Linked DNA regions of Lonchura striata. The main gene of each other region encodes a partner of the protein of the gene in region 2 in a complex. Links are inferred from orthologs where the notes say so. Each region holds a gene or a part of one and is shown on either strand. Other genes may lie near its edges.

The links.
Region 1: TBL1XR1 (region 2) and CORO2A share a complex: the UniProt entries of both Homo sapiens proteins name them as parts of the N-Cor repressor complex. The link is inferred for Lonchura striata from reciprocal best matches to the Homo sapiens genes TBL1XR1 and CORO2A.

Annotation. Positions count from the first base shown.
Region 1 is NC_134642.1:48,082,095-48,097,298, reverse strand, and holds the start of CORO2A (coronin-2A), read right to left. Parts: upstream 7,372-15,204; 5' UTR 7,303-7,371; intron 1-7,302. Other genes in the region: TBC1D2 (TBC1 domain family member 2A), read right to left, coding at 15,003-15,204.
Region 2 is NC_134612.1:20,895,974-20,910,514, forward strand, and holds the start of TBL1XR1 (F-box-like/WD repeat-containing protein TBL1XR1), read left to right. Parts: upstream 1-7,134; 5' UTR 7,135-7,483; intron 7,484-8,434; exon of another isoform or gene 8,435-8,492; intron 8,493-14,541. UniProt on the Homo sapiens protein: F-box-like protein involved in the recruitment of the ubiquitin/19S proteasome complex to nuclear receptor-regulated transcription units. Plays an essential role in transcription activation mediated by nuclear receptors.

The DNA.
Region 1 (15,204 bases), on a different chromosome or scaffold from region 2:
GGAAGCATAACCCCACAACAACAAAAGGTGTGTAAAACACTTCTAGTGATATTAATCTTCCAGATTCACACAACTGAGCTTGACTGCAAGACAGACAGAAATAAGAGTACGAATGCTGCTATTTTTTTTAATATATGTAAGGTAAGCTGTCACAAAGTCACAGAGAAGTTCATGTTGCAAGCTATGTCAGGGAAGGAAGTATAGGTAAGACATCGTAAAACTCTTCTGAAATATACAAAATCATACATAAAATAACAACTAGTTTCTCAAAATTGAAGGAAAGAGAAGGTAGAGAAATTGTCACTTCAGTTCCCTCTTTACACATTAAATGCATTTACTCTATCAGGCTTAAGAAGCCCTGTTCTAGTAACAGCCCACAGACAACTGGACTCCAAATCAAAGGTTGCAAAACAAAGAGATCCCCCAAGATAAGAGCAAGATAAGCTTCAGTGAAATAGGGTTTTTTTCAACCTCAAGGATGACCAAAAGATACTCAAGAATATCCTTTGATATTTTTTCTTCATTTTTTTTCTTCATCAATCTATTAAGCAGATATGTGTGCTGAAGAGAAAGTTGGGAATTCTTAACCACTCATCAGAGTCCAACATGAATCATGAACATTGGGAAAGAAACATGGAACACAAGGACCAAGACAGACTTTCCAAGTGGATTTCGGCTGTGGGTTTCCTTGCTTTAACTTAGGGAAACATCTATTCCTAATATCATCACCAGGAGTTTATTTCCAGTATCATGACCAAACCACAAGCAAATTTAGGCTGGGAGAGACCACAGATGGTCCACAGCACAAACTTCTAGATAAAATAGGGTCAGCTTTTAAGTCAAGCCAGGTTTTTCACAGCCTCATTCATGTGAATTCTGAAAATCTCTAGAGGTGGAGGTACTAAAGGCAAGAAAACCATCCTGCTAAGCCCGTGTCTGGATAATTGTGAACTCAGTCAGTCATTACAAACCAATTACAAAAGCAGGTACTGGTCCTACACAGTGCTCTTCTTCCATGAGGATGAATTACCTACCCCACCCACTCCAGATCTCAAGTCAACACAGACAATAAAATCTTCCTCCACTTACGGTCAATGTTCAAACTGGCTTAGAGGACTCCTGCCTTCAAATTGTCATCCCTCCAGCAACAATAAAAGATAACTCAAGAGAGGAAGTTAATTGTTGTGTTATGGAATAAGAATACCACCTTGGGACCCTAAGGGCAAAGCCCAGCAGAACATGCTGAGAGCTTGGAGAGGAGACAAGTATGGTCTACTCCGTGAGAGGAGATGTTTTAGGGGTGACAAGCTGGACAAAAGAAATTTCTGCAGGAGGTCAGGTAGCTGTTGTTTGGTTAATGGCAGACTGAGAGATGTTATCTACCTCCAGAGAACACTGCTGTTTGCACTCAGTGACATTATTTAGGTGAGCATCCTGTTCAAGTTTCTAGCTATGCATCATCCTGAGAAGCTCTTCCCACAATTCCTCCTCTTTGCTACTAAAAACAAAACTGCCTTATTACCTTGCCAAGTAATAACTTCTGCTTCCAGCTACTGGCTCTCATTGTGGTTTGTCAGCCCAACTGAATAATCCATTATCTATAAAGACAGAAGCAATTTTTGATCTTTTCAATTCCACAGAAACCAAGAGTTCACCAAAATACAACCTGGAGACCAAGAAAGAAAAAAAATGTCAACTTTATACTTGAGCTTTTACTTATAAAATCTCATAGAGGGGTTGGGTTTTTCTGTTCCAAGACTAGTGTTGCCTGGCAGGATGCATCACACCCAGAACTACTGCACAAGAAGATTAATGTATGGTAGGAGCACGAGCTTCAAATAGATGCAAGGGACTATGGAGTCAAACCCTTCAATCCCTATTAACCCTTTAAATAAATGGCATGTTTTTTAAAACTGTGAGACACTGAATTCCAATTGATTTCTGTGGAACATGTCAGATGCCAGACTATCATTAGCAAAATCAATCTTTTCAATTAAGACTCGAGCATCAGTTACTGACATAAAGCCTTTTGCAAATTCAAAGCAAAGCAACCATGACCACAGACAGGAGGGGTCAGAAGACAGAGTGTGATCCTCCCTGACTGCAAGGAAATGAGCCTCTGTATGTAGAAGAACCTGAACATTACAAGAGCAGGAACTTAGAGCAATGCTATTCTGATTTTGTTTTTGTTCCTCTACATGTGCATTTTGGTATTCAAATTAAATTAGAGAAAATGGCAGAGAAAAATAATATGAATTAATTACATTTAAGTAGATGTTAGCAAGACAATCGTTGACTACTTCTACTTCTCTCTTGCAATTAAAGAGCTGTCTGGATTCTCTGTGCCTATTACCCTACAATTTTGTTGCCAACACAGGATCCTTTTATGGAGAAGACAGAACAGAAGAAACCAAGGGCGACAAGGAAGATTGGTCTTTCCTGGCATCATTCACATTACAGGTGGTGTTCCTAAAAACCTCAGTGTTAGGCTTCCTAGAAACAAGCACTGCAACTGTGCCAGCAATTCAGGCAAAATGGTAGCTATGCTCTTCTAAGGCAATATTGTTTGTATTTTTCAAGATTTGTGTGTTCTTGGTTAGGGAAAACACTGTGAAACACTAGTTAAATAACTGGTTTGAATAACCTCAGTGTAACCATGTGAAAGGTGGCTGAGAGCTGAATAGCACTGGCAGAGTCAAATTTGCTGCAGCTCAGAAAACAAAACTGCACAGAGTAGCTGTGGTGCAACAGGATTCAGCACAGATCAATGGTGTGACACTGGGGGGCATTCAGGGACAGCCCTTTTGGCAGACTGGCAAACGTCCTACATGCTAACACTCCATGGCTAAGCAAGATCCAGGTGAGGCTGGAGTAGGACAGTATGGAGAGAGATCTGCTGCTCCCAGACCTTTGTTCTTTTTTGCCTGCTGTATCAGTCCATATCCCAGCCCACAGAGTGAGCCACGTCTGAGAAAAAGGGACTTGTACACCAAGCACTTCTCATGCATCCTACATTGATTCCCAGAAAACCTGAGATGAGATCCAGAAATTTCAGACTTTACCAAGGAGGAGTTCAGCCCTTTTAACATATGGTCTAGAAGGCAAGCTTAAATCATGGTATTTGTAGAGCAAGGACTGATTAATTTCAGCTCTTGGGAGTAAACCCAGTATTTGCCTTGGCCACTCCCTGCACCTTTTTTTTTCTGACTGTCCCTGCTCAACTTTATGTACAAGCTCAAGCCACAAGGTTCTTATTTCCTGTATTAATGCAACTCTGACATGGATAGCCTTGCCCAGTCATCTTTTTCTGGGAGGAGCTCTCCCCCAGCATTGCCTCCTCTCCTGCACAGCTACCAGAACTGCAGAAGGAAGAAAAAGATGGAGTTTGGCCTCTGCTGCTTTCCTGGAAGCTATCTTATCAACTTTCATGAACTTTGTCTTAATCTCAGGTATATAAAATCTCAGGTATATAAAATACCACAACTGCTGGGATTTTCTTCTACTTTGTCTTCCTTATCATTTTCCTAGGTGACTTCGTCCCACAGAGGGAGAGAGGCAGTGCAGTCATCTGCACTCTCTGCAGGTAGGTCCATGTTTCTTGGCACAGAGATAAAGAGCAGGTTATTCACCAGACTGGAAGAAAACTCTTCAATAAATCAGAGCCCTGAAGGATGCTCAGAAGAAAGAGTGAGAGAGACACCAAACTTTGGGCACTGCTCCAGAAAATTTGAAACTGAGTGAAGCAGAGCAGGGAATAGGTCAACAAGGGAAGAGAGAACAGGGCTTGGAGCTGCACACTATCATTGGTCCTACTCTTGGCAGTGGTATGTCTCCAAGCTTTAGAAAGGGTTTTGCTTGGCTGAGGGTCAGAAAGTCCTATTTTTGAATTCCAAAGTGCTTTAGAAATAATAAGCATCAGCATTGCACTAATAGAGCCCTGCAGGGTGTATTTTCAAAATGAGGAATTGCTGGCAAGCCTGTAATACCACAGAGGGGAAATCCCTGGAAATATTAGGCCAGTCTAGCTTCTACTTACAAGCCAGTATAACCCTACGAGTATCAAAATCTCTCAGCCAATACAGCCGCGTCGATGATGTAAAGGTCTTTCCTGTTTCTCCTCAGGAGAGGCAGGAGGAGCGTCAGCATAATTGCAGTGTGCTGCAGGCTTGCCTCAGTCAGCACTGCAGCCAGAGCAGCTTAAAAACATGCACTTACAGGAAGCCATGTAATGACTACGTGTGAAACAGCTCACCACACCATCACTCTGGTGCCTTCTTGCCACAGGAGCAAGAGACCAGACTGTCTGTGCTCCTGCTGCACATCAAGAGATGGCCAGAAACAATTCTTTCAAAGCACAGCTGCTGTCCAGCCTAACCAGGGATGCCCTTGGCTCTGAGTAGCAGTTTAGTAGCAAGGTCCAGCAGCCACCCAGACAGCCCACTGGCCAACTGTAAAATCACTGGTGTTTATAACTGGGAGTCAGGAACATTCAGATAAGGTGCTGGCATTCTGTGGGGCTTTTTTGTTGAAGCAAACACTTCAAACAAACTTTCCTATGAGAACGGAGAACAGGGTGTGGCTGTCAGGGACCGGCTGAGTCCCCTTGAACCGGGCAAGAATGGATGGTGGGGAAATGATCTGAGACACTTTCCCTCCACAATGTTTCTTCACAGAGTCTCTGTCATACTCTGTCACATCCTATTCCCCAACAGTTTTCCTATCAAAATCCCTGCTGGGGAACTCAGGACCTAATAAGGTAGCATGAAGACTTCATGCTATGCAGCCACTGTGGATCAAGGAATACTAAAAAGTCAGAGGCAGCAAACTGACCACAATTTATGAGTAGCCTGCAAGGTCATGCATACAATCTAGCTTAGCCTGCCTCAAGGCAACTGTCTCCCACTCAAAGCATCACCTTTTTTCTGGGATTTACCAAAACTTTCAGTTCTCTCCCTAAGCCTCTTTAACAGTGAGTGCTTGGGCACCTGAAGCTTACAGCACAGGGACCTCCTCTGTACTCAACTATTCATCCCCAAAACACAGCTCACATCACATTTAGGTATCCGGTAGTCCAGACAGCCCACAGGCAAGAGAGAATTGCCCTTGCAGAGGCACCATAAACCTGTTCCAGAGTCAGCAGCCTGCCCGGTGCCAACCCACCTAGAAAGAGACTCACAGACCTAGGCAACAGAAAATCCACTCATTATCCAGCTACTAACAAATGGAGCAGACACAGAAACATGAAAATATTATCCATTACTGGCATTTGCAGAGTGAGAAATTTTCTCAGAAGGGACAAACCAACATACTTCAAAGACAAGCAGAAATTACCCAGGACGAAAAGGAGAATGAGAAATATACAACATGCAGAGATACTCTGAACTCTACCAGGAAATCCACCTCCTGCACAGACACAGCCAGGAGCCAGTTGGATCAATGGAATGGAGGTGATCAGTGCTGCTGGTCAGGCAGGCGCAGCTGCCACACAGGGCACAGTGGTTTCCCTTACCCCTGGACTTGCAAAATAGGCAAAGTCATGCTTAGGTGCTTTGCCTCAGAGGAAGAGGGACCAGGAGGAGATTAGGGCAGAGTTGGGAGTGCAGGAAGCAGAATTGTCTGGTTGTTTGTCCAAACATCACCAGTACCTGGGTCTCAAGTTTCCAGTCTAAGGCAACTCTACTGAGATAATGGGCTGTGATTCGTTGCTACAGAGTAACAGATTGTATGAATCTGAAATACAGCTCATCGAAGCTATAATAATAGATGTCATAATGCTAATTCACCAAACAATAGCAGCACAGATAAAAACACCTATATTTTTCCTGTCTCTAAAAAGCAACCAGCTCTTCCCTATTCTGCCTCCAAAAGCTCTAGAGCTTCCTGAAATGCTCACAACCAAAACATGAACTCCATTGTGTCTCCATCAGTCACTCCCTATCTCTGATCAAACCAGGAGAGATTAGAGCTCTCCAAAGAGGGCACAACCAGCCAGAGGAAGAACAAAGGGAACGGCAGGGCTACACAGGCTGCTCCTTTGTTAATCCACTGGGAAGCCTGCACTGGAGAAGCTTAAAGGCAACCATCAGTCAGCCTTCTCCCAAATGTTCCCTAAATCCTCTGCAGAAATCACTTCCCTTGAGCATCCAAGGGGCCAAAAGACGTTAAGCCTGTCCAGGTAAGTACCCTTTACAAGGACTGCAGCACAGTGTCTTCTTAGAAAGTATAAATGAAAAGGGCTGGGGCAGGGTGGCGTGGGAATCAGGAACAGACAGGATGCTCCAGAGCACTACAAGGAGAGCACCACTCCCTGCAAAGTGTTCACTGGCCCGGTGAGGCCAGTGCACATAGCTGGCATCACCGGGCCGTCGGTCTGCAAAGTGCTGTCTGTTACACATTCCTTTGCATCAGCCTGTCTTGACCTTTGACAGAGCTGCGGCATCAAAGCCAGACCCACGGAAGAAGCAGTCTTCAAAGCTGTGTTGCCTAAAAATATTCAGGGTGCCAGTTCCTCCTTCAGGGGGAAGTGTTACCAGGGGATCCCGGTGCCAGAGAGACACTGAAGTGGCTGTCATCACGCTCTGTGCAAGATGTAACCTACCCTGACATCAAGCACCCGAATTCCCCACAACTCCAGCAAAAAAGGCCAAATTTAACCCGTCGCACACACAGCCATAGGTGAGGCTTCTATATAAGCGAAGTTATTCAGATGGGAAATCGTGCCACCGGCGGCACTAACCAGCAGGGCTGACAGGAGACGCAGCCTTCCCGACTAGGCAGCAGGATGGCTCGGGTTGACAAGAAGCCCTGTTGCTCCACGCAACTCCGCCTGCAGACCCCGGGTCGGAGGGCTCTCACCGCGGGCCAGCTGCCAGTCCGCCACACCCCGCGCAGAAAATCCCGCCGGCAGATTCCTGCAGGAATAGCCCTGGCGCTACCGGCGAGCGAGAGACTCTTGCCCGCCGAGGGCGCGACCAGCATCGGCTGCCCGGACCGCGGCCAGCGGGAACGCCCCGCTCCCCCCGCAGGCGCGGGGGATGCCCGAGGCCCGGGCACCGGGCGGCCAAGGCATCCTCCGGCCGGCCGTGCCCCGGCGGCCGCGGCGACGGCCCCAGCTCCGCACAAAGCGGGGTGGGGCCGGAGGGAGCTGCGGCACCCCCGGCGCGAAGCGGGCAGAGCAGCTTCCCCGCCCCGCTCCCCGGCACCGCCGGGCTCCGCGGGCCCCGGCTGCGACAGGTGCCCGAGCCGGCCCTGCCCGCGCGTGTCCCGGCCCCACGCCCCGCACCGCTGCCCGCGCTCTCGTACCTTGCCGCTGGCGACGGGGCTCTGGACGTGCGCACGGGAGCCGCGCCGCGCCAGCCCGGCCCGGCCCGCCCGCCGTCCCCGCCCCGGCCCGCCCCCGCGCCGCGCCCCGGCCCGCCCCCGCGCCGCGCCCCGCGGCCGGGAGGTGCCGGCGGGCACCGGGCGCTGTCGCTTGCCCCGTGGAGCTCCGAGGAGCCTGCCCGGGGCCATCAGCTCCGCGGCTGTGCCCGGCCCCTGGGCGCAACCTCCCGTGGCCAGCGAGGGTTTGTCCTGGTGCCATGGCAGGAGAGAGCCCCTCCGCAAACACAGCAAGGTGCTCAAGTGTCTCTCCGCTACCCTGGGCTCCTAGAGCCATCCCACCCGGGCCGACATGCGCCATTCGCCGTCACCATCACCGCTGCAGGTGGATCCCCGACCATGTGCCCGGAGGCCCGGAGGTGAAAAGTGGTTGCGTGATTCTCCTACGAGATGGACCTGCCGGCACCAGAACGTTGCCGTCACTTGCAACGAGTACCACAGACCTTGCATTAATAAGCTCAGAGAGCTTTTGAGCGCTCTGTGCCATTTCCTCAGTGTCCCACCAGGTACCGCTCATTCTGAACACCGCACACACCCCTGCAACAGCCTTAATGTGACAGGCTTAGCTGGCAGCCTCTGGCTGTCTCGGCAGTCCCTGGCAGATGGAGAGACACTGCCCCAAAGCTGTAGGCCCTTTACTGATGGCATATGGGTTTAGGAAGCTTCTCACAGAGCTCACACTCAGACTTTGGGGTCAGCTAGTAGCTTGGCAGCACTGCAAACCTCCTCAGTGCCCTGAATGAGGAACTTAGTAAGCAGACAGCAGCAACCAAGATTAAATAGCAGAGGAGGTTTCTTTGGCCAGGTCACCTCCTCAGCTAACACTGCTCTGGTCCTGTCTGATTAATCAGGGTCTGAGACAGGTAGCTCATCTATATACCTTATTGCCATCACTCACTGGCTAGCAGAGGCAGCTCTGGGCTGAGCTAGGAGCTGTGACAAGACTGAGACTCAATGTCCTTCACAAGTGAGATGCTGCAGATCAGCGTAAGGGAACAGAAAGAAAAGCAAACATGCCCAAACAACAGCGTGGATGCTGTTGCCAATTACTAACTCCTCAAGGCACAGTACTATTTATCAAGAAGCTGTATATCAACCTTAGCAGATGTAGACAAAGACAGAAGGGGTAAAGGCCTCATGAACGCTTCCAAAAAAATGTCTCAAACACTCTCAAACAAAGCAACAGCAGGCAACATAGCAGGATTGAAATCACTGGAACAGTAAGAACTGCTGACAATGCCAAGAGAGAGCAGCAGGAAGTATGTCCTTAGCTGAAAGGTAATTCAATCAAGGGGAGATCATGACCACCAACCCAGTGACCACTTCCTCACTACAGTCCCCAACTCAAGTAAAAGAGGAGATTGCATGTGTGATTATGTCATTAGCATGCCTGTCAGGACATCTCAAGTTCTTGTGGAGAAGAAAAATTATGCCTGTGAAAAGACCAGATACACTGAATTCTTCAAGGGTGCAGAGCAGGATTTCAGAACGAACCAGCAACGACTAAGAGTGATCTTTATCCTTTGCCACCAGGTGCTAGCCTGGGACATTCCAGGGGACTGAGGCACTTCAGCAGATACACCACCAGACTGTTGCTGTTGAGGAAGGATGGGAATGAAGAGACTCTGACTAGATTAGAAGGTTGCTGAAAGTAAAACTCCGATTTATTCAAAATATACTGCTCTTTTATACAGAGCTTCGTGAGGACTAACTCCATTGGTTCTGAAGTGAAAACAACCCACAGCATTGATGCAAAGTGCTTGACATACAGTGATAGAACTTAACTATAAATAATGTGAAAAACAAGAGAGATAAAGAATTATTTACATTTTTCTTCAGCTTTTTCCCAGGCTAGAAACTCTCATTTTCTTTCTTTGACTAAATCTGAGTCCCACACCAGACAACTGTTGAGAAGCAATGTGCATGGATGGAGCACAGGAAGGAATTTCTGCGGACATGAATTGTGGATGCTAGTGCAGCAGCTGTCCTAGGCCTGCCCTGCCTATGAGAATTGAGATGACTTCTGGTAGCCCTCAGGATCCTCGCAGTGTGTGCTCACATGTTGCCTATATAGAGTTGTACAAGACTGAGAGGTCAGGTACTGATACACAGAGGATTTCCAGTGCTTCCTTTAACACATGTTGTGCTACAGCCCTGAGTAAGCTGTAGAAAATTGCATGCAGGATTGACAGGGAGAAAAAGACAGATTTGTTTAAGGTCTTTGGGGGGAAAGATTTCTTCTACCTACAGCTCTGCCCACTGTAGGCATCTGGCTATGCTATACATGTGCAAATGCCATTCATGAGAGCTGTTTTAGGTGCTGACAAAGTGAATGGTTTGGGACTCCCCAGTCCCCTTTGCAGTCTTAAACTGGGTGGCTGAGACTGGGGTGTCCTTGGTGATTGGAGTGAATGCTATCTCTGTTGTGTTCCCTGAGATATCTCAACTGGTCATCCAGCAGCAACAGTCTGGCTGAGCGACCCTGGTGACAGCCTGTGTCCACAGAAGTGGCTTCTGGGAAAGAGTACTCCCATACAACCCTTATGCTGTGTAAAGGGCCTCCAGCAGCCATCATGTTTGTGCTTTCTGTTGAGATCCAGCAGCAGAAGTTGGAGACACTGCAGCAAACACTAAACTCTGACTTATCCCTGCTTGCAGAGGACAAGGGTCCTGACGTGTCTCTGGTAGTTCCGCATGGACACATGCAGGAAGCTGCTAATTAGTTATGACCAATTAGCTTAATCTTTAAATAAACTTCACTGGTTCCTATTTTTCCTCCTGTAATTATTTCCAGCCCCATGCAGCACACTATCACTAACTGTGCCACATGTACGCAGCTGCAGGTGGGCATGGAGGGCACAACACCCAGCTTGGGACTGATTTAAAGCACCATTGCAATGTTAGAGCAAAACTGGAAGCCTTTTCAGAGTTTGTGGCATTGGCATTTCCCATCAAGGTGCAAGAGTTTTTATGATGTTGATAAATGTTATTAGAAGATGCAGCAAAAATATAAATTGGTTTTAATTTTGTTTTGGTACTTTTCCTCCCTGCAAAATTGCTGCCCATAGACAATACTTTTCTATTAACAAAATGATTTTGTAAAAGAAGAACATATAGGCGCTATTTTCAGCATGGAATTGTAATGTTGGGCTGAATACTATTTTTTCCCAAATGATAAGGACGGTAGACCAGAACATTTTACTCTTATTAAATAAAGGGAACAATGTAGTCTTGGAGGAGTAGACAAAAAAACTCATGCAAAACATAAGATGCCAGCTTAGCTTTGCAAGGCTGACAAAGCTGAAGTTATGCAAAGCAACAATATTGCACTTACTCAAAATGAGGGTTGAGGAACAGCCACCTAAAGAGGATACTGGACATTGAAGACAAACCCTGAAGAGCTTAGGGACATCCAATAAGGGGTGCAACTATGTAAAATAAACACACATACATCAAGTAAGCAGGGATAGCCAACGAGTGTGTCATCAGCGTGTATGATTAAAAACTCAGTTTTGAGCATTTACCCAATGCCCAGGGCATACTTACTTAGAAGAAGAATTCTCTGAGTGACCAGAACACTGTGATAAAGAAAGCTGCTTTCTAATACTCAAAACTGTGTTAGAAAGTTTTAATCTGGACAATTTTGGTATTACAAGGGGGCTTGAAATTTAATTCTGCTTACCCTGGATATTGCTTCAAGTCTCCAAGCTTCCAACAGCTTGACACCAGAATGTGCCAGAGGTTCTGTGTCATAAAAATTAAGCTCAAAGCCAGAGCAGATACTGATCCAAGAGCTGGAGTCTCAAAGACAGACTTTGTACTTCAGAGGAAGCAGTCATTTAATAACAAGGAGAAATAAGGACTTCATCTCAAAGGTAGTGGACCATGTGACCAAAGCAAACATCTAGCTGCAGCAGAGTATGGTACCTCTCACCCCAAACGTGTCATGGTTAGCAATACCTTCTCTTCCACTGACCAACCACTGTGCTGTTTTCCCCTCGGGAGAGCTCCTGAGGTTGAACAGAAAGCACATGGATAATCTCATGATTTAGCATCTCCAGTCTCTGACTGAACTCTAGGAAAGAAGTTAAAATATCTTGCATGGCATTATATCTGCTGCAGCACTGGCTTGGCCATGGGAAAGTGGTTTGTCTTCTTGCACTTGGCATGTCCATAGACCAACCAGAGCTAATATTTTGTAAAGGAGCTCTTAGCACTGGAAGATGGCTGGAGAAATCTCAGCATCATCTCAGGCCACAAGTGAGCTCTTAAATGGGAAGAGAGCAAGCCCAAGGTCTTGTGTCTGTGATGATGGCAGGAAGTTGCCCAGCCTGCAGACTGGAAAAGAAACCTCAGCACTGTGGTATAGTTCCTGCTACAGCGTGTTGTTGCTATCCTCCCATGGAAAAATGCCTTGCCCCTTAGCTCTCACCTTCACCCTGGGCGAGATGCTCAAGCTTAGGCTAAACATTAACCCAGAAACAACCTCCCCAGTCATGCCTCTTGCCACTCTGGCAGCACACCAGAATACAGGGCTTAGCTGCAGCATATGAAGGTATAGATCCAGGCCAAAAAGGGAAGCTTTACAGACTCTTCTATTGGCAGCTCAGGGAATTATTTAGCCAGCAGTGGCTTTATGTGTGTTTGGCACCACTCCACCAATTCATCCTCTCAAACCCCATGAATTTTTGGTGGCCACAAGATCCTGCAACAAAGTGAACTTACAAGTTAATGGCATATCATAGGGAGGAGGGTGGGTGTGGAAATCAAAACCCTCCTTTTTAGGGTTGGAGCTGGTATGCCAAGATTTAGGTTAATTCAGAGATAGAAAGCTTAATTTCACAAATAATGTTACACATACAGCAAAGCTCAGCAAAGTCTGGTTCTAGGTAGAAAGACACCTGTTTTATGCACAGGTGCCAGCACAGGCAGAAGGAGCTGCTGGGCTGCATGACTAGGTCAAACTGTTTCCCAGCCACAACAGTTGGCAGTGGCAGCACAAATCATTCCTGAGCACTTCATGCAGAGGTAACCAAGAGATTCAAAACACCCATGGCATTGACTGATAGTCACTGAAGGTCTTGCAGGGGCTTGAGGTATTTGTGTCTGGCCCAACTGCAATTTTGTGACCTGAGTTCAGTGCTTTTCAGTACTACTGAAGTTTATGAAGCAGAAGGAAAGTAGATGAGAGCCCATGAGGACATGTCAGCTTGGCTCCAAGGTGCAGGTCTTTATAGGCTTTGCAGACATTCCTACATCCACCACAGTTTAATAAAGAATGACCACAACTGGTTATCAATAGGACCAGAGAAGATAGTCCTCAGCAAATATATTTGGACTAAAACCAAGAGCTGAGTAAGACACAAAAGAAAAGAAACTTTAAAACAACCCTCACATGTCCTTCCCTTCCAATTTAATTTTAAAATTATTTTCAGAATTCTCCATCAGGATCAGTATCTTGATCTTTAGGTCTATGTCAGATGACTTTATGTATCACACAGATCATAGTCAGGCTGTGGTTTAGTCTAATAATACATGTTTCAAATGCCTTTATTATTAAACATAAGGGCAAATCAGGAGGAAAGATTCTTAATCTGTTGCAGAAAGCTCTAGGAAACAAAATTGTAAGTAAACATCTAATTTTCATGGTCTTGATTTAGAAGATAATGTCTGTAACAATGGCTAAATTCTGTGTGCACTCATGAACATACGTCTATAAACAGATTAGCAGTATAATATGTGAAGAAAAACCTTCTGCCTTTTAGACTTCTCTAGATGGCATACTTTTTAAATGAGCTTATTTTTTTCTTTGAGATACTGTAGCAGGCTTCCAGTAACATTTCCTTCTCATCCCAGACTTTTAATGTGTGCAGCTCTCAGTGACCTTCAGGGGACCTGTCCACTCGTCCCAAAAATTTCACTTCCACTTTGATTACTTCTCTGCCATGTGGTTGACCTCCACAGGTCTCTCCCATCTCAGTCTTCTATAAGGCATTGAAAGTTGCTGATTTGTCCAGTGAGGCAGACCATGTATCTCAGGTGAATAGACAACAATTCCACTAGAGTCTGTCATCTTGGCTACAGCCCAAGAAGAAAGGGGCTGAGAACACTGTGGGCTATGAATTCCTCCCTTTCCTTCCTCTCTACAAGTACTGACAACTTGAAGGGCTGGGTTATTAACCACTAGATAGTTAAAGAAAGCATAAGCCATTTGGGTTCAAGGTCAGTCTAAAAACATAGAGCCCCCGCCCCTTACAGCAGTGTCTGCTGCATGCTATCTGTGCCAGCACTGCAGGTACACCTGGAGTAATACACCACTCAGCAGGAAAGTGAGGCAGCAGGATCTGGCATCATGTTAAGGAAAAATAAGTTGTATTTATCTAAACAGTTGACTCATCCTGGGTCAGTGGAGAGCTGAGCTGCACAGGCAGGGGATGGGTGAGCCTGGAGGCAGGGCAGAAGGCTGTCAGACCCCATTTCCAGAGGCAGATAGGGTATCTCTGTGTGCTAGACCCATGGAGGCCAGCTCCTTGGTTCAAGGGACATTAATGTTTTTTTCTAAAGAATATCAAGTCATCTTTTGTGACCTTGTTCCCAGGGTTTTCAGGTTCACTACCAGCCATATGCCATGGACAAAACACCTTCAATATCATAAACTCCTATAGAAAAACCTTTGTCCCTCTCATAATGAATGGAACTCAGAGACAGGGATATCAATGTGAAAACCCAGCACAGGAGGACTGTAACCATGGGGCAGGAGATGGCCAGGAGTGAGACTATCAGAAAATCCAGTCATCCCCAGTAAAAGTCCACATAACACTTGGCCCTGCCTACAGGAAGGCTGGTTTCATACAGAGATTAGAGTTCCTCCATGGAGCAAACTCACCAGCATAGAGTGATACCAGGGCCTAAAAGCTAAACATGAGGAGAGAAAGCTCACAATATTTCCCAGCAAAGCAGAAGACACCTTGTGCTCCCATGAACTTCCTACAGGAAGAACTCTACTCTCCCACGATCTGTTTCCTGGTCCCAGCCTGCATCCCATGGGCTGATGTCCTCCAGCTTTCAGAACCTCCACAGACCCAACACTCATCTGGAGACAGTGTCTTGATCAGTAACAATGTTAAAAACACACTCTCCTGGCAGGCTAGACAATGAAGGCACCATGCTGTTTAAGAGAAGTTTTTTCCTGACCAGTTCTGAAGCTTTAGGTAACAAGGGAGTGTTCTTGGTTCGTTATCTCTGGACATTTTACTTGTAGTAAAGACCTCATTCAAGCTTCCATCCAAAAATGAATAAAAGCCCTGCTTGGTCTTTTGCATCATGTTAGTTCCTGTCATGACACCACAACTGATATTTCTTCTGCACCCTCAGCTGTAATCCTGAACTGCACAGGACAGGATGGGCTAAATGGGGAGAAATATAGAAGAGGATTAAACTCCCCTGACACCTTCCAATCCATTATAAATCTGACTTGGTCTCCAAAATGGTCCCATACAGCCTTGCTTATTGGGGTACATGAGCTCCTGTGACCACGCTTCCTCCTGTGGTCCATTTCTCACTGACAGTTGCTACAGATGATCTTCTGCAGTATGGGAGGGAAGTGATGATGAACTCTCTTTTTGTTAGCTCTCTTCTTCCTCTTCACTAACTACCTCCTCCAAGTCCTGAGGTCCCTGCTCTGCTCTCTCTTTCACATAGGCTGCCTTGATCTGTTCAAGTTCACGCAGCTCTGCCTCCAGCTCTTCTCTGTGCATTGACCGACGGTTCCTCAGCAGTTTCATGGGGAAGGGGTTTAAGTCATTGAAGGCAATGTTCATCAGCTTC
Region 2 (14,541 bases):
TCACAGAAAGCCATGTTGTAGGAAATATTGGCTCAACTGAGGAAATAATTCTCAGTTCATTCTTCCACTATGAGATTTGGGGTTGTTTGTTTTTTATTTGGTTGGTTTTTGTTGTTGTTGTTGAGGTGGTTTTTTTTTTGTGTGTGTGTGTGTTTTTCTTTTTTTTTCTTTTTTTTTTTTTTTGTGTATGTGAGTGTTTTGGTCTCATGGTATGGCACACATCAAGCGCTGTGAAATATTGACAGCTATTCCTAAATGCACTGCTCTACCCAGTGTGATCTTTCTTTTTGCACATACCCTGAAGTGTTTTATGTACCTGCTAGGAACGTTACACAGGATGCTCGCACAGGTCATAAAATTTGGTCTCGTATTGGAAATGTTTTGTGGGAATGTGCTGCTTAATCTACTGCAGCCGCTCACAGTTACTGTCACAGAGAGGGGGTGAAGATTACAGCCAGCTTGGGGAAGTTTGATACCTTATCAGAAATCCTCAAGAATAAAACTGAAAGAAGTGGGTGTTCAATAAAATGTAGATAATTGACTGAAAAAAGGGGAAATACGGTGAAGTCATCCTTTTGGCTGGATTTAATGCTGCTGTCAGTTCCCTGTGAGTACCTGCAGTCACCCTCTGCTAAGGGATTGAGTGGAATAAATCCTGGGTGTGCTTTAATTGAGTGTTAAGCACATCAGTGATGTGCAGTGAAAGACAAGGCTGGAGATCCAGGATGGAATCCTTGCCCAGCGGGGCGGGGAAACAAAAACAACCCAACAACTACAAAACCTCTATTGACTTCAAGGGCTTTAATCACTGGAGCAAGTTGTCTAATAACAACATACTGCAGGGTGTGCTTTGGCACTGCCACCTTCATCATTCATTTTATGCTTAATATGCTAGAAAACAATGTTTAACATCTGGTATAAGTGGATATAGCATATCTGTCTACAAGGAAGCAGCTGATGCAAATAATTTAAGAAATAAAAACAGGGGACTTCAAGTGTACCTATTAATATTTTTTCTACACTTTTTTGACACTATCATTAGCAAAACCTAATTAGAAGGTGTTTTTCAACAACTGCTGTCCTCAAGGCATAATGTATGGCCCTCACATAAATAATATTATCATCTTAAAAATACTTCATAAACACTAATTTACTCTCCCAAATTTCTTGTGAGATAGATAATTATGTGTTAACAATGATATAATCACCATTAGTAGCTGTGTTAGTCCTCTCTTTTTATAGATGGAAGCTCATGCCCTGATAATAAACAGTTTGCTGAAGGCCACATGAAGAGTCTTCAGGTCTCTGATTGGGGAAGGAATCAGTCCTGGCTCTGTCCTCCCCTCACATAAAAAACAGAACAATGTTGGTATAATGAAAGAAAAGCAGGTTTTAAATATGGGCAAGAAAGAGAAATTTTCTTCAGGTTGGCTGGATTATTGGACTGAGAGGAAATATTAAAGAAGTATGTGACAGAGATCAAGGTAAATAACAAATATTATACCTTTTGTACTTGTGCCTTTATTTACTCTGCAGTAATTACACCAAGTAATGTAGATTACATTATGAATCACTATGACGCTTACAAGACTGAATTTTTTGCAACCACATCCTGAGCCTGTGAGATAATCTGTTTGATCTCCTACGAGGACCAGATACGTCTTGCTTGAAACTTCAGAAGCATGCCAGAGCAGCTGGGACACACCCTTTTTCGTAACTGTGTTAAAATAAAACAAGTTTGGATTTGCTCAGCCACTGTAGGATGTAACATCTGAGTTACATGCTCGCTGTGAAGTGACTTTTGCCATAACCTCAGAGTTAACAGGGCCTCTTCTGCATTTCTGTCTGAGAAGCAACACTTTCTTTCCATCTTAAAAAATGTGCATATTTACATACGCAAAAAAAACTCCAAACCCAAAACCAAAAAAAACTTGCAACAAGAAAAAAAACCCAATCCTTAGCAAATTATTAAAGCCAAAACACAAATTTGTTCCCATGCCTGTAACAACCCCAGTTCACACTGAAGCTACAGTGCTGCACCTGCAATAACTAAACCCCCTGAGGTCAGTGTGTGTCACTTCCCAGAGTGAGGTCTGTACCAGATCTGTCCAGGCTGTTCACTCATTTTTCTCCTCTTCTTGTGTGAAACCTCCACCAGTCCTCCTGGGGCTGGATTGTGGATAGTGAGGGATGACATTCAGCTTTTATTTTGTCCACCCTCTTGTACAGGAACCACAGTGGGAGCTCAGGTGGGCAGGGACATTCTCTGCCACAAATAACAGCCCCTCCATGGGCAAGAAGCCCTGGGACTGCAGGTTTTCCTCTCCAAAAAAAAAAAAAAAAGGATCATGTGGCCCAGTAGAAGTCAAGGAGCAGGAATCTGGTGCAGGGTGCTTGAAGGAGCTCTGGCAGTGGGCATCTCTTATTTTCATTTAAAAACCCGTTCCTCTGGCACTGATCTGGAAGCTCTCCTTGGTGTGACACGTTCACACACACATCTGTGCTTCTCTTACAGCCTTCAGGGAATGATGGGCCACTGGGTGGGAAGTTGGCAGCAATTAAAGTGAGGCCAGGCTGTTGGTAGGCATCCCCATCTTGCAGCAGTCCTGACCTTGCTCATCTGTACTATTTTTTAGGATCCTGTGGTAGATTTTGAAAGTAGTAACGTGTCCAGCAGCTGTGTCCAGCAGAAGCTCCGTGCTCCAGGGAGGTGCTGAACAGTTCACATGCATGAACACCGAGTGAGAGCTGAACATGAGCACCGTAACTTCTATCCTGAAACTTCTGAAGGAAACACTTCATGGCTTTGGATCACACAGCTCAGCAACTGCCTGTGAATGAGGGACTGTTCACCTGGTCATGCTCTTGCTCTGCTCTTGCTGTTTATTCTGGGAAGCAGAAGCCTCCCCAATCGATCTGGAAAGTGTATCAACGAGATGATTGTTTTTGGATTGACTCCTCCCTGGCTCATGGAGCCCTACAGGGTTATCTCTGTGCGTATGCTTTAAGGCAACTAATGAAACTAGTGGTACTGCTATGTTGCTCATCAGTGTTGGACATTTTTAACCATATATGATCAATAAATGATGAATCACCAATGAATTTATGTTAAGGTGGGGCAGAAGATGCTCCCTGCTCAGGAACATGTCATCTCCTTGCAAAGAGTCATTGTCAGCAGCCTCAAAAGGAATAGAACCACTGTCTTCCAACCGTGAACCTCTGTTTCCTTTCTCAGTATGCACAATACAAATAAAAATAATTTAGAGGGTTTTTTTTTTCCTTAATGTTGACATCTCTCTCGAATTGAGGGGGAAAGAAAAGGTCTTAAGAATATGAAGGTCTCTGGGCCGAACTGCTCAGTGCTTCCGACTCAGAGGAAGTCTTGGTGGAATTGCTAGGGTGTGGGAGTACCTACTCATTAGGATTAAAGTGCCCTTGTGGTTTTCATTAATCCACTTTGGGATGCAAAGTGACAACAGCATCTTTGTGGGGGATCCATCCGTGTGGGGAGCCTGGTCCCCCCTCTGCCCTGCCAAACCCAGAGCTGCCCCGTGGGAGCCTGGTGGCTCTCCTGTTTAAATCGACAGGGTTTAAGTCCCGCTGGTTTAAATATCAGGTTTAACTGGGGCTTGCCTGCATATCAAAGGCACTATGGTAATTTTTATGAGGGAAAGTGCGGAGGGAAAGTGTTTGCCTGGTGCTGTCCAGGCTCCTCCCTGCTCCCTGCTCAGCGCGGTGCTGAGTCACTGCCCTTCCTCACCAGGAGCCTGCACCCTCCTGGTGCTGTGTTTGTGCAGGATGGGCTCAGCACCCCAGCCTGGGGGAGCCCCTGCAGAAACAAGAGCTAAAAATGAACAAAAAGCCTTCCTGATTCGCTGGTATTTATTTACGTGCTGCCGTGCGTGGTGGGCTCCACTCTGGCACCTGGATTGTGTGTGGACTGGGCTTGAACTTTTCTGGAGCCAGCCATCTGCTTCCTGCTGGTGTGTTGGTGCCTCGCTGCGCCTTCAGTCTCGCTCCAATCTGCACAAGATTTATGGATGGATATTATATAGATTTAACACAATAGCATGGGTTTTATTATTTGCTGGAAAATGTTAATAAACCCCAAGTATTACAGATGCATTTTAATCCCTGAAGTGATTTTTGAGTAGAATGCATGAATTATTAATTGTTGTTATTGTTATTATTGCAGTGCATACCTACCTCACAGGGCATTGTGAGGATTAATTAATTCTTGTAAAGATGTAAAAGGCCGTATAGGTGTCAAGGGTTATGACTAAAGTGCTTTGAAAATGGAAACCACTCTGCAAGTGCCAAGTATTATTATTTATGGAGTCCAGGCAGTGTGCTTGGTGCTGTGCAAACACTGGGCCAGTTATTGCAAATATTTGCTTATATGTGCTTGGTAGGCCGAGCACTCCCTGTTACAAGTCATTTCAACTATTTTAAGGATGCGTCTTAAAAATATGGGCATGAGAAGACTTTCCAGTCATTGGGATGATGGATCCACTGGCTGCGAGCAGCTGTGTCACTGAAGAACTTCAGAAAGCGTGCTTTTATTCAAACACACAAGTGAACCGAGACCTCGGATCTGCTCCAGTTATACATCTGAAAGTTAGGGTTTTGTCCAATCTTTCTTGCTGCTTTGGGAAGTGTAACAAGAGTTATTGTTTAGAAGTGGCTCTCCCAGAGGGCAAAGCCAACTCCCTGAGCTCAGCTCGCTCACTGAACAATCTGCTGTAAACCACAACCTGCTCAACTGCCCCGTGTTGCCCAACATCCGTTCTTGGAAACCTCTGAAAGGGAGAGCCTCCTTCCCATACGCTCTGGAAGTGTCCCCTGTAGCCCTGAATCCAGCTGCACATTTGGGCAAGAGAACTGCAAAGGCTAAAGCTCATAACAGACAGTGAGAGGCGTTTGTGCAGTCCTGCGGGGTGTTTGCCTTCGTGAAACAAGGGAAACCAGAACAAAACAGATGAGGGATGACTATTAAAAGCACAAATCCACCAGAATTCACTTTGTAGATTCTGCAGAACAGAACTTCTCGGGAAATTGCCCAGTTGAGCACATCACCATGTTAAAAAAGAGAGCCTGGCACCCCAGAGCCGCGACCGAACATTTGGAGAACACCAGACCACGGAAACCTTCAGCCAGATGACTTCAGCTCAGCACGTTGTCGCTGCTCGGCAGATGGATGGGAAGACAGTGTTTGTAGTTCCTGAGGGCCAAACAACGCACACTTCAGGGATTTTCCCTCCCCCGTTTCTCACACAAGCTTTCTGAATGTCACACCTCTCATTCCCATTTCATGGACTTCTCAGATATCCTTCTCTAGGCCCCTGCTGTCCCCCAGTCCCCCAGAAGAATTCCCTTTCCTCTTGCCTTAGGCTATGTGCATATTCCCATTTCCCTTCCTCCACACACTGTTACTGCTTATCTTCTTTCACCTGGGAAATAAATCAGAGTATCAGAAGGTCCAACTCCATTAGAAGCACGGACAGATCTAAGATTATAATGTGTGAATGTGTTAATGAGTGCATTGCCACTTTTCCTTTCCCTCTTAAATTTCTTGACTTTCAGCAAATTTTGGAGCTAGACTGGATATAGTGTTCAAAACTATTGCCTCTTTACATACCTGAAGCAGACAGCCTCCACACCATTAGTGAGAAGAGAAAGTTGCTCACTTGGGACACCAAAGTCATTACACAAATAAATGCTGGACACCAAGATTTGCAATTACAAATGTGCTTCCTGGCTTCCTAGAGAGATTTATGTTTCTCTACATGACTTTGGCCTGTATTTAAATATTTTTCTTCAGAAAGGAAGGAAAAACGCATGGGTTTGACCCTGAAGAAAATGAGTACTATAAGAGGATTCTACACCCAGAGACCTACCCAAAGCTTTGTGGAGTGGATGGACTCCATCTGCTTGTGTAATGATGCTCAGGTAGGCAAAATCTGCCTATGGTATATCCCAGGTGTTAGACTGAAGGTAAAATCCAGAACTGGTGCCTTAGGACTAGCATAATTCTCTGGCAATGGTCTATTCACAAAAAAAAAAAAAAGAAAAAAAAAAAAAAAAGAAGACGAAAGAAAAAAGACACTACATTCATGACCAGCTCTTTATGCAGTGCCAGCTGCAGCGAAATCAAGCTCTGAAATTGAGTGTGGTGATGTGGAGATGTGGACACCCTGTTTGAGCAGCACCAGAGCTGGGCTGGCGTGTGTGGAGCTGGGATAACATCGGATGTTTCCATCGGATCTGTGCAGGGTTTGTGGTCACTGGGACTCTGCACGGGTGCCAATGTCCGGACATGAGAGTGCTGGACCGTCGCCCAAGAGCGTGAAATGCTCTTGCAAAACCATTTTAAGATGGAAAGGGCTGCCTGGTGACGAATGTGGTTTTGATTAACAAAGCTCGCTTTCAAAAACAAACAATGCGGCCCTATAGATGACAAACAGCATTTCAATTGTAAAAATGAGCAGCACCCAGGTAGGCCATTGCGTTAGTGCTGCGGAGGATTATTTTCATGAAAGGAGAGGGCAGAGGCGGTAGCGCGGTGCCCACACGGGGCTGGACCCCGGTGCCAGGTGCCATCGCCAACCGCGACGGGCCGCGAGAGGCAAAACCACCATGTTACATCCTGCATTTACATAAGCCCTGTCGGCAGCGCAGTTTAACGTCTTTCCCAGAAAAAGCTCCGCGGCCTGGGCCCGCCGTGCCCGGCCGCCTCCCTCCGCACGGCCGGGGAAGGCGGCGGCCCGCGGGCTCCCGTCCGAGCCCCGCGCCGGGCTCCTGCGGCCGGCCCGGCCGCTCCTCCTCGCCTGGCCTCGCCTCCCGAGGCTCGCCGCTTCCCTTCCTCCTTCCTTCCCTCCCTTCCCTCCCTTCCCTTCCCTCCGCCGGCGCCCATTTCGGCGCGGCCGGGCACCCGGAGTGTCTGCGGGCCGCCGGCTGCTCCGCGCCGCTTGGCTCCTTCCCCCAGTAACAGCTCCCACATTCCGCCCCGATCCCTCCTCAATCTCAATCACACACACACATATTACTTTTTTTTTTTTTTTTCCCCTCCTTCCTCGGGACTTAATCTCCAGTCCCCCCCCACCCGCCCTCCCCACCCTCCCCTCCCCCGGCCCCTGGCTCGGATATAATTGAATATCACAGCGCTACGCGCTGGGTATTTTTTTTCCTTCCTCCTCCTGTGTGTGTGTGGTGGTTTTGTTGGTTTTTTTTTTCCTGGTGTTTTTTTTTTTCTCCTCCTCCTCCTCTCGGTGTGGACACCTTAAAAATACATATATATATGTGTGTGTATATATATAAATATAATCGATAACTATACGCGTGTACACACACACACGCTCACACTGGCAGGGATGTGCGCGTATATACACGCGGCGGTATAAAACACACGGGAGGAGGAGAGACAATCCAGGGTGAATTCCTCGTGCCTCCGTTCCCTGGGAAAGGGGGAGCAGCCGCTCGCAAGGTAAGAACCGGGGGGCTCCGAGCCCCGGGGGCGGGCAGGGGCCGGGGATGGGGTGGGGGCGGCCGCCCTGTTTGTGTCCGTGCGGGCGGGAGGGGGACGGGGCTCCTCTGGACCCCCCGTTGTTATTAGTATGTGTATATATACATGCATAGATAGATATGCAGACACATTTATGTATATATACACATATTCACCCCTCCCCCACCCCGCGCCGCTGGCTTCCCCTCCCCCACCCGCCTTCATTTTTTTTTAAAAAAAAAAAGAAGAAAAGGTTTAATGGAGCGGGGGATGGGGGGGACACCGGCCTCGGCAGCGAATGGCACACGGGAGCCATGGCGAGAGGCCTATTTTTAGCCCGATTTGTGGGGAAGAGCGGCTTCCCCTCCCCCCCTTCCCGCATATTTACTTGGGGGGAGGGGAAGGGGGGAGGGCCCGGTCGGGATGGGGGAGGGGAGGCCCTTCCCCTCCCCCGCTCCCCGGAGTTCTCCCCCATCCCGACTCCCCGTTGCTGGGGAGGGGATACACCCCCACCCCCGGGCCATTCCCGATGTTCACCCCCCCAGAGCCAAGTTATTGATCAGTTTTCCGGCGGAATTCGGGCTGGAACATGCGGTGCCCCGCGGTGGCAGGGAGCGGGCCCGCTTCGGGGCATAAAATAAGCTTTTATTCTCCCATTTCACAGCGTCTCTCCTTGCCAGGGCTTATCCCCGTCCGAAACCCTGGTGTAAATTGTGTCTTGCATCAGTTAGAGGGGCTCGCACGGTTGATGCAGTGTGTACTGTTTTATTGGTGGAGGATTTAAGTCCTGAAATATGTGGCTTGTTATTGTTGTACCCTCGAAAGGGTTAAAATTTATCGTGTTGTTCCAGGTGAATTTAATCTTTCATCACCGAATTTCCTTTTAAGGCAGCTTGACAGAATAAAAGTCTCTCCCTCGCTTGTCTTTATCCCCAGAACAGCAAAACTTTGTCTGTGCTTTATGGCAGGGGCTGGTTGCTGCAGATGACACGTGAGTCTGGAGGAAAGTTTGGTTTGTAGGTCGCTGTGTAGGAAAGTGAAGTTTGCTGGTGAAGTTTTTACTACTCTCCAGTGTGCTCGACTTCCTCGTTTTCCTGTCTGTGTAAATCAAATTCCTAACTGATTTATGGGGGAGGGGATCACAAAACATATTCCTTCCTTATTGTTAAGGCATGGGAGGCATGATCAGGAGAAACAGGTCTTTGTTGCATAAAAAAAAGAGTTTTGTAGGCTTGTCTGACTTGCTTTGCTCTCCTTCTGTGCTAAAATAAATGTCTGAGCACGTTGTGTGCTTTAAAAAGGTTCTTTACTGTTGATGGTCTCTGCCCTTTGGGTGTTGTGCGTTGTGCTCCTTTAGCATCAAGGGCACCATATGCAAAGTTGGTATTTGGGGTTTGGTTGTACCTGGGCTTTGGGGCAGTTTCCAGCCTTCTTCCTGCTCTGAGTAACCTGAAGGCTTGTCCACGTGAGGCTCACATTGTATTTGGGGCCTTCCTTTGGACATGTGTGTTAAAGGGCTTTTTGGAATATGTTCCAAATGAGGACTGGACTGCAAGCTCCCGTGTGTGTCCTTAAATTTAAGTGAGTGGGTATGTGCTTGTGGATGAGCTCTGAAGGGGTTTTTGTCCTTATCCATTGGAAAAAGGGGCTGGGATGGTGCTTAGGCCACAGGTGGTGCCCTGTAATTGATTGAAACAAACTTTCTGTGGTTTTCTCTAGTGTTTTTTCCCCCTTTGGTTTTGTTTAAGGTTTAATGGAATGATAACATTTTGTATTATTTACCTAAGGTCACCTGAGCCACTGCACTGTTGCTATCTTAAGGTTTCTTGGGGGAAGTTGGATTTTTCTCCATGAGAACTGTGTTTTCTGGTACTCTATCTTGGGAGCTTGGTGGCCTGCCTCCCAAACTGTTATTGGGAACACCTGGAGAGCACTTAGCTCTCATTCCTTGAGGAAAAGAGAAGGAAATGTAATTTAAATGTATGAGAAGGGTTGGGGTTTGGCTTTTGGGCTTTATAATTTATTTTTAAGACTTTGCAAGAGTGTATAGTTTTTGTTTGTTTGAACATGCACAGCCAGAATGTGTGTTTGTAGCATAAAGAACACAATAATTACAGAAGATTCTGTTGCTTAAGCTTTTTTTCCTCTTTCAAACAGGTAGTTAAAACTTTTTTTCTTGTGAGTTTCTTTTTAAATATGAATACTTCTTTCAGTTTTACTCTATATATGGTAATTATTGATGTTTGTGTAATGCTTTGAAGTTGTAAGGCAGGGTATAAGCGCTAAGTACCCAACAGCAATACTTCATAGTCATTTTCCCATCATGAAAGAGTTTGATCCTTAAAAGTGCTAGAGCCCTAGGCATAAAGAGGCTCTGGACGGATTAGGGGAAATGGCCAAAATTGCTGATAATGTTGTTTTAAGTTAGGAAGAACAGATCTGAATAACGTAAAGCAAACTGAGTTATTTTACCTAACTTCATTTTGGTCTGGAATTTAATAGAATGTGGACTTCACATTTGAGTCAGAATGTGTTTGCTGTTATAAGTTTTGTAGTGGCAGTAAAGACCCACATCCTACAAGGATGTAATCGTGCAGAAGTCAGGAAGTCTTGTAAAACACACAGCTTTGTGAACATCAGTGGTCTCGTTCAGCTGAATGAGCTCTGCAGCTCTCTGTGAAGTTGCTCCCAGGAGTTGGGTGTGTTTTGTGTTAGTGGTGGGCAGTAAGATGTGAATCTTTCATTACACCGATGCTATTTTGACAGAACAGCACTGTCAAGTGTTTTGGGAAGGCTGAGGCAGTGGCAGGTGTGGCACCTTTTCATCACTAATTCCTCTGCTGGTTGGGAGCCCCGGGTGACAGTCACCCCTCCAGCTTTTGCTTGCTTTGCCTGTCTCTTCTGTCCCCTGGTCCCACAGCTGCTGAAGATGGTGGTGCCTGTGTGAATTCTGACACCTTGCTGGCGAGGACACTGCTGGCAGGCGGAGGAGAGGCAGACACAAGTCTCCCGCCAGCTCTTCCCCTTCCCAGCTGGGACAGGGTGGTGGTGAAGTGGTCTGGTCTGTGCTTTGGAGAGGAGGGCAAGGACAGGGTGTGCTGCAGGTCGGTGTTGTGTCAGTACTGCAATATTGTGATACTGAGATGTATCGTACCCAAGTGTGACTCATTCATAATCTAATTCACGTTGTTTTTATTGAGTGGTGTGATTTTGGTCGGTGTGCTGACCATCCTCGCTGGGTGTGTGTTTGCACATGCCTGCACGCAGAGTTCAGAGTGTAATGATGACTGTATTTAGTGCCCTAAACATCAGCTCATACAAGTAGCTGCAGGTTGGGGGGAGAAGTGAAAGTGTGTGTGTGCACACTCTGTAATTAGGCATGTTTGGCTCCTGCAAAAAGTAGCTGCTCTGAGAATATACTCATTGCATGCTCATTTTTAAATACTAATTTAAGTGTTTGTGTTAGGTGAAGAAGTGTCAGGAGCTTCCCATTAGGAACTATGATTGACAGCTCTTCTCTCTTTTTGAGTTGCATTGCTGCATTAATGTAGTAGTTTCAAATTAACAGGTGATAAAAAACCATTTCTATGTTTCTGCTATTGATTTAGCTACCCCCGTCCCAAATGTGCTCAGTTTTTTAAGTGCTGAAGTATGAAGTTAGATGGTCTTAATTTCTGTAAAGTCACATAATGACGACTGACTTTACTAGAAAAAGGTTCAAGTGATCCCGAGCAGAGTAGATGGAGACTGCTTTATTCATTTCATAATTGGTTTCTTCCGAGATAAAGTGTGACAGTGAAATGAGGAATAAGGAATATCTTTTGATATGAAATTGTAGGGGAATATATTGGCTTTCCTCTAATTTTGCAAAATTGAATTAGCTAACTGGAGGTAAGAAGCAGTGAAAATGAGGCAGCGTAGCTTTCACTTTTGGAGAGCTGATAGCTTGAGTGAAAAGGTTTGGAAGTCTGGTCTGGAATTTGCCAATTTGTATGAAAACTGGCACACTTCTTAGGGTTCCGTCTTGTGGTATCTAATTCAAGATGAGAAGGCCCTTTGGCTCCTTCTCATAATGAAAACAAGGTTGCACTTGTTTATACAAAATGCCCTAGAGTGTTAGTGGCCTTGTTTGAGCTCAGGTTAAGTGTTTATTTGGTTCAGGAGGATCTACAGAACCATAAGTCACCTTACACTCTGAAACATTTGTCTTTAATACCTTACCACTTACCTTTCTGTGGCATCCTTTAGACTTAACTTTTTATATTGATAAGGAGCCTTAAAAATAATTCTGCCTTGATAAGAAGTAAGTGGTCATTCCAACCTGGAGGTTGTGTAATTGTAGGGGAAAATGTACGCACTGGTTGGGTGTGTAGGATTTGCTGGCTTGGCTAACCAAGGAGTGAAATTGCTGGTGTTGCAGCTCACACCTGCTCGCTTGCTTCTTGGATGGGCTGATTGCAGGGAAGACTTCTGAGTGTATTTCCTTACCTGTAGAAATAGTGATCACAAAGTCTGGTGAATTGGCACAGCTTTCTGAAGAACTCATTTAAAGAAGCTCCCAAGTGATGAGGGGGAGTGTTATGGAATTGTCTTGGCCAATATATGCAACATCTTTCAGAGAGTCTCAGTTTACTTTGGATATAATTGTGCATGGCCGAACTCAGTGCTAAGTGGAGATGCTGAGGTCCTTTGGAATATGCTAGCTAGGATGTCAGAAGCAGCATCCCTAGGTATGCTCTCGGCCTAATACACCATTTTTTGAGGATGAATAATGCAGGCAGATTGGGTGTCAGCCTGGCTGTGTGGTTCAGTGCCTGCCCATGGCCCTTCCTGGTGTCCTCTGCATCCTGCTTGCCTCAGGAGCTGGAGGTATGGTGGCAGTGGGGATCTGGTCCCTGAATAAGTGCTGTAGTTGTGCTTGGTGCAAGCATGACTCCTCTTAAGAAGAGTATAAGCTGGCATCTGCATCTCTAAAGTAAGATATTAATAGTCTTATTTTCAAAGATGCTGAGTCCCCGCAGTTGCATGTGAAGTTGGCAGTCTCTGTGTGTGCTTAGCATTTCTAAAAATCAACTCTTGTGTGGTTTGCAGGCTTCTGCAAACTCCCGTGAGGGTGTAGTTTCTGTTCCTGGGAGCAGTATTAGTAAAAGGCTATGTTGTGTGCTCTGACTTGTGTTTATTGTTGTAATTCTGAAGTCTCCATGTTGCAGAGGAGCAATCTTGCTTACTAGTAATGTCTAGCAGTAAAAAATCAGAATCATCCAGAGAAAACAGTTGTGTGGGTTTTCTTGTTTTATGATCTGAGGCTGTGTTCAGTGTCAGTGTGTTACAGACACTCTACAACCATGTGCCATATGCAGACACGCTGGGTGGCATTTGGGATCACTCGAGGTGCTGGAAGTTTGAGCTGGTGGGGTGTGAGTAGCAGAGCTTCCCTTCCCCTTCAGTGGGGCAAGAAATAGTTTTGCCAGCCTGGCAGGGCAGGTGGGCAGCTGTAGTAATGCTGTAGTAATGTTGGTGCTCCTTTTAACCCGTTGTGGGTTTGGGGAATGATTCAGTCTCTTCTCTGGCTGCACACAGAGTTCCCCCTCAGCCCCACTGATGTCAGGCTGATGGTAGATTTTTTTGAATTGGGACTGTGAAAGTGGAAACTTTGCTCTGTGCACAGCTACGTGCCTGTTGGTGGCAACCAGAGAGCTGCAGAAAAGATCTCTGTGCTGCCTATTCCTGGAGTATTTTTCCAAGGTTATGAGTTAAGGGTCAAATATTTACTGTTTGTGAAAATGCAGTGCTAAATGCTGTGCCCAGTGCCAAAACCACAGAAATTGTCTAGGTCTAGAGCCCTAAATAGAACCCATCCGTAAAGTTGCATCCATTTGACATTAACAATGTTAAAAGTTCAGGCTCTTCACATGGGTGACCTATCACCAGCAAATTGAGCGGGGAGTTATGTATGGTGAGCACATGTGAGGCAGATTTGAATCCCCTGATGGTTCCCTAAAAGTACCAGGCAAAGAGGAGACAGTTTGATTTCCTGGAATAAGTTGCCCAGGCTGGCCAAGGAGTGGAATAACAAGTTTCATAGCTGTTTAGTGGTTTTTGGACAGACTGATTCATGCTCGAGTGTCAGCATGACTTCTGAAAATACAATTTTGCTTTGTAAAAACAGTACTAAAAAGATGTCATTATTTTTCACTTATTACTGATATTGGTCTAACTTGCAATCCTCTTGGACAAATGAGCATTTTTGCCATTAATTTCAGCAGTCGAGAGAGGAGCTTACCTTAAAATACCGATTGATCTTAAGAGAGATGAGTTGAGTCTGACCCTCCCCCTCTGCTTCCTGGTCTCTCTAGCTCACAGTAAGCATGAGAACTTTTCCTCTTTTAGGTTATGTCTAAATTTGTGGGGAAAAAATAGTTTTGATATTGCATAGACCTATGGGGGAAATAACAAGAGATCTGGGTCAAAAAAGTAGGACGTGCAAGATTTAGAAGCTGTTGAAGTGTATTTATTTGTCCTATATTAGTTTAAAGGAAGTATTGGTGCTCTCAGTTTGGCACAGTTTGGCAACGTGTCCTTCAGTCTACGGTGTGCTGTAAAGGGAAGACAACTGCTAAACAATGAATCACCACTAATTTTTGTGTGGATGTTCACATTCTTCCCTAGTGCAGAAATTTCTGGTTGTGTATCAGCACAAACACGCTTTCGCAAATGCAGATTCTTGGTGATAAATTTTAATTGGGAAGTACTTCGTAAAAATACGGATTTTTTGCCATGATGATGTTTGTGATTCTGTAATGTATCAGGTTTTATACTTTTTAATGTACTAATAAAGCAAAGTTTGTACAAATGTGGATGGAGGAAAATGAGGGATGGTGTGGTCAGACCATCTATTAATGCTGACATAATAAATTGTGCTAGATGTACATCTTGTGTAGCAATGGATTAGCTGTTTTCCATTGCCAGTGCAACAAATGTGGGGTTTATAGAAGTGGAGTCTGTACTTCCTGAACAATGTGAATGTTTTCTTGATGCCA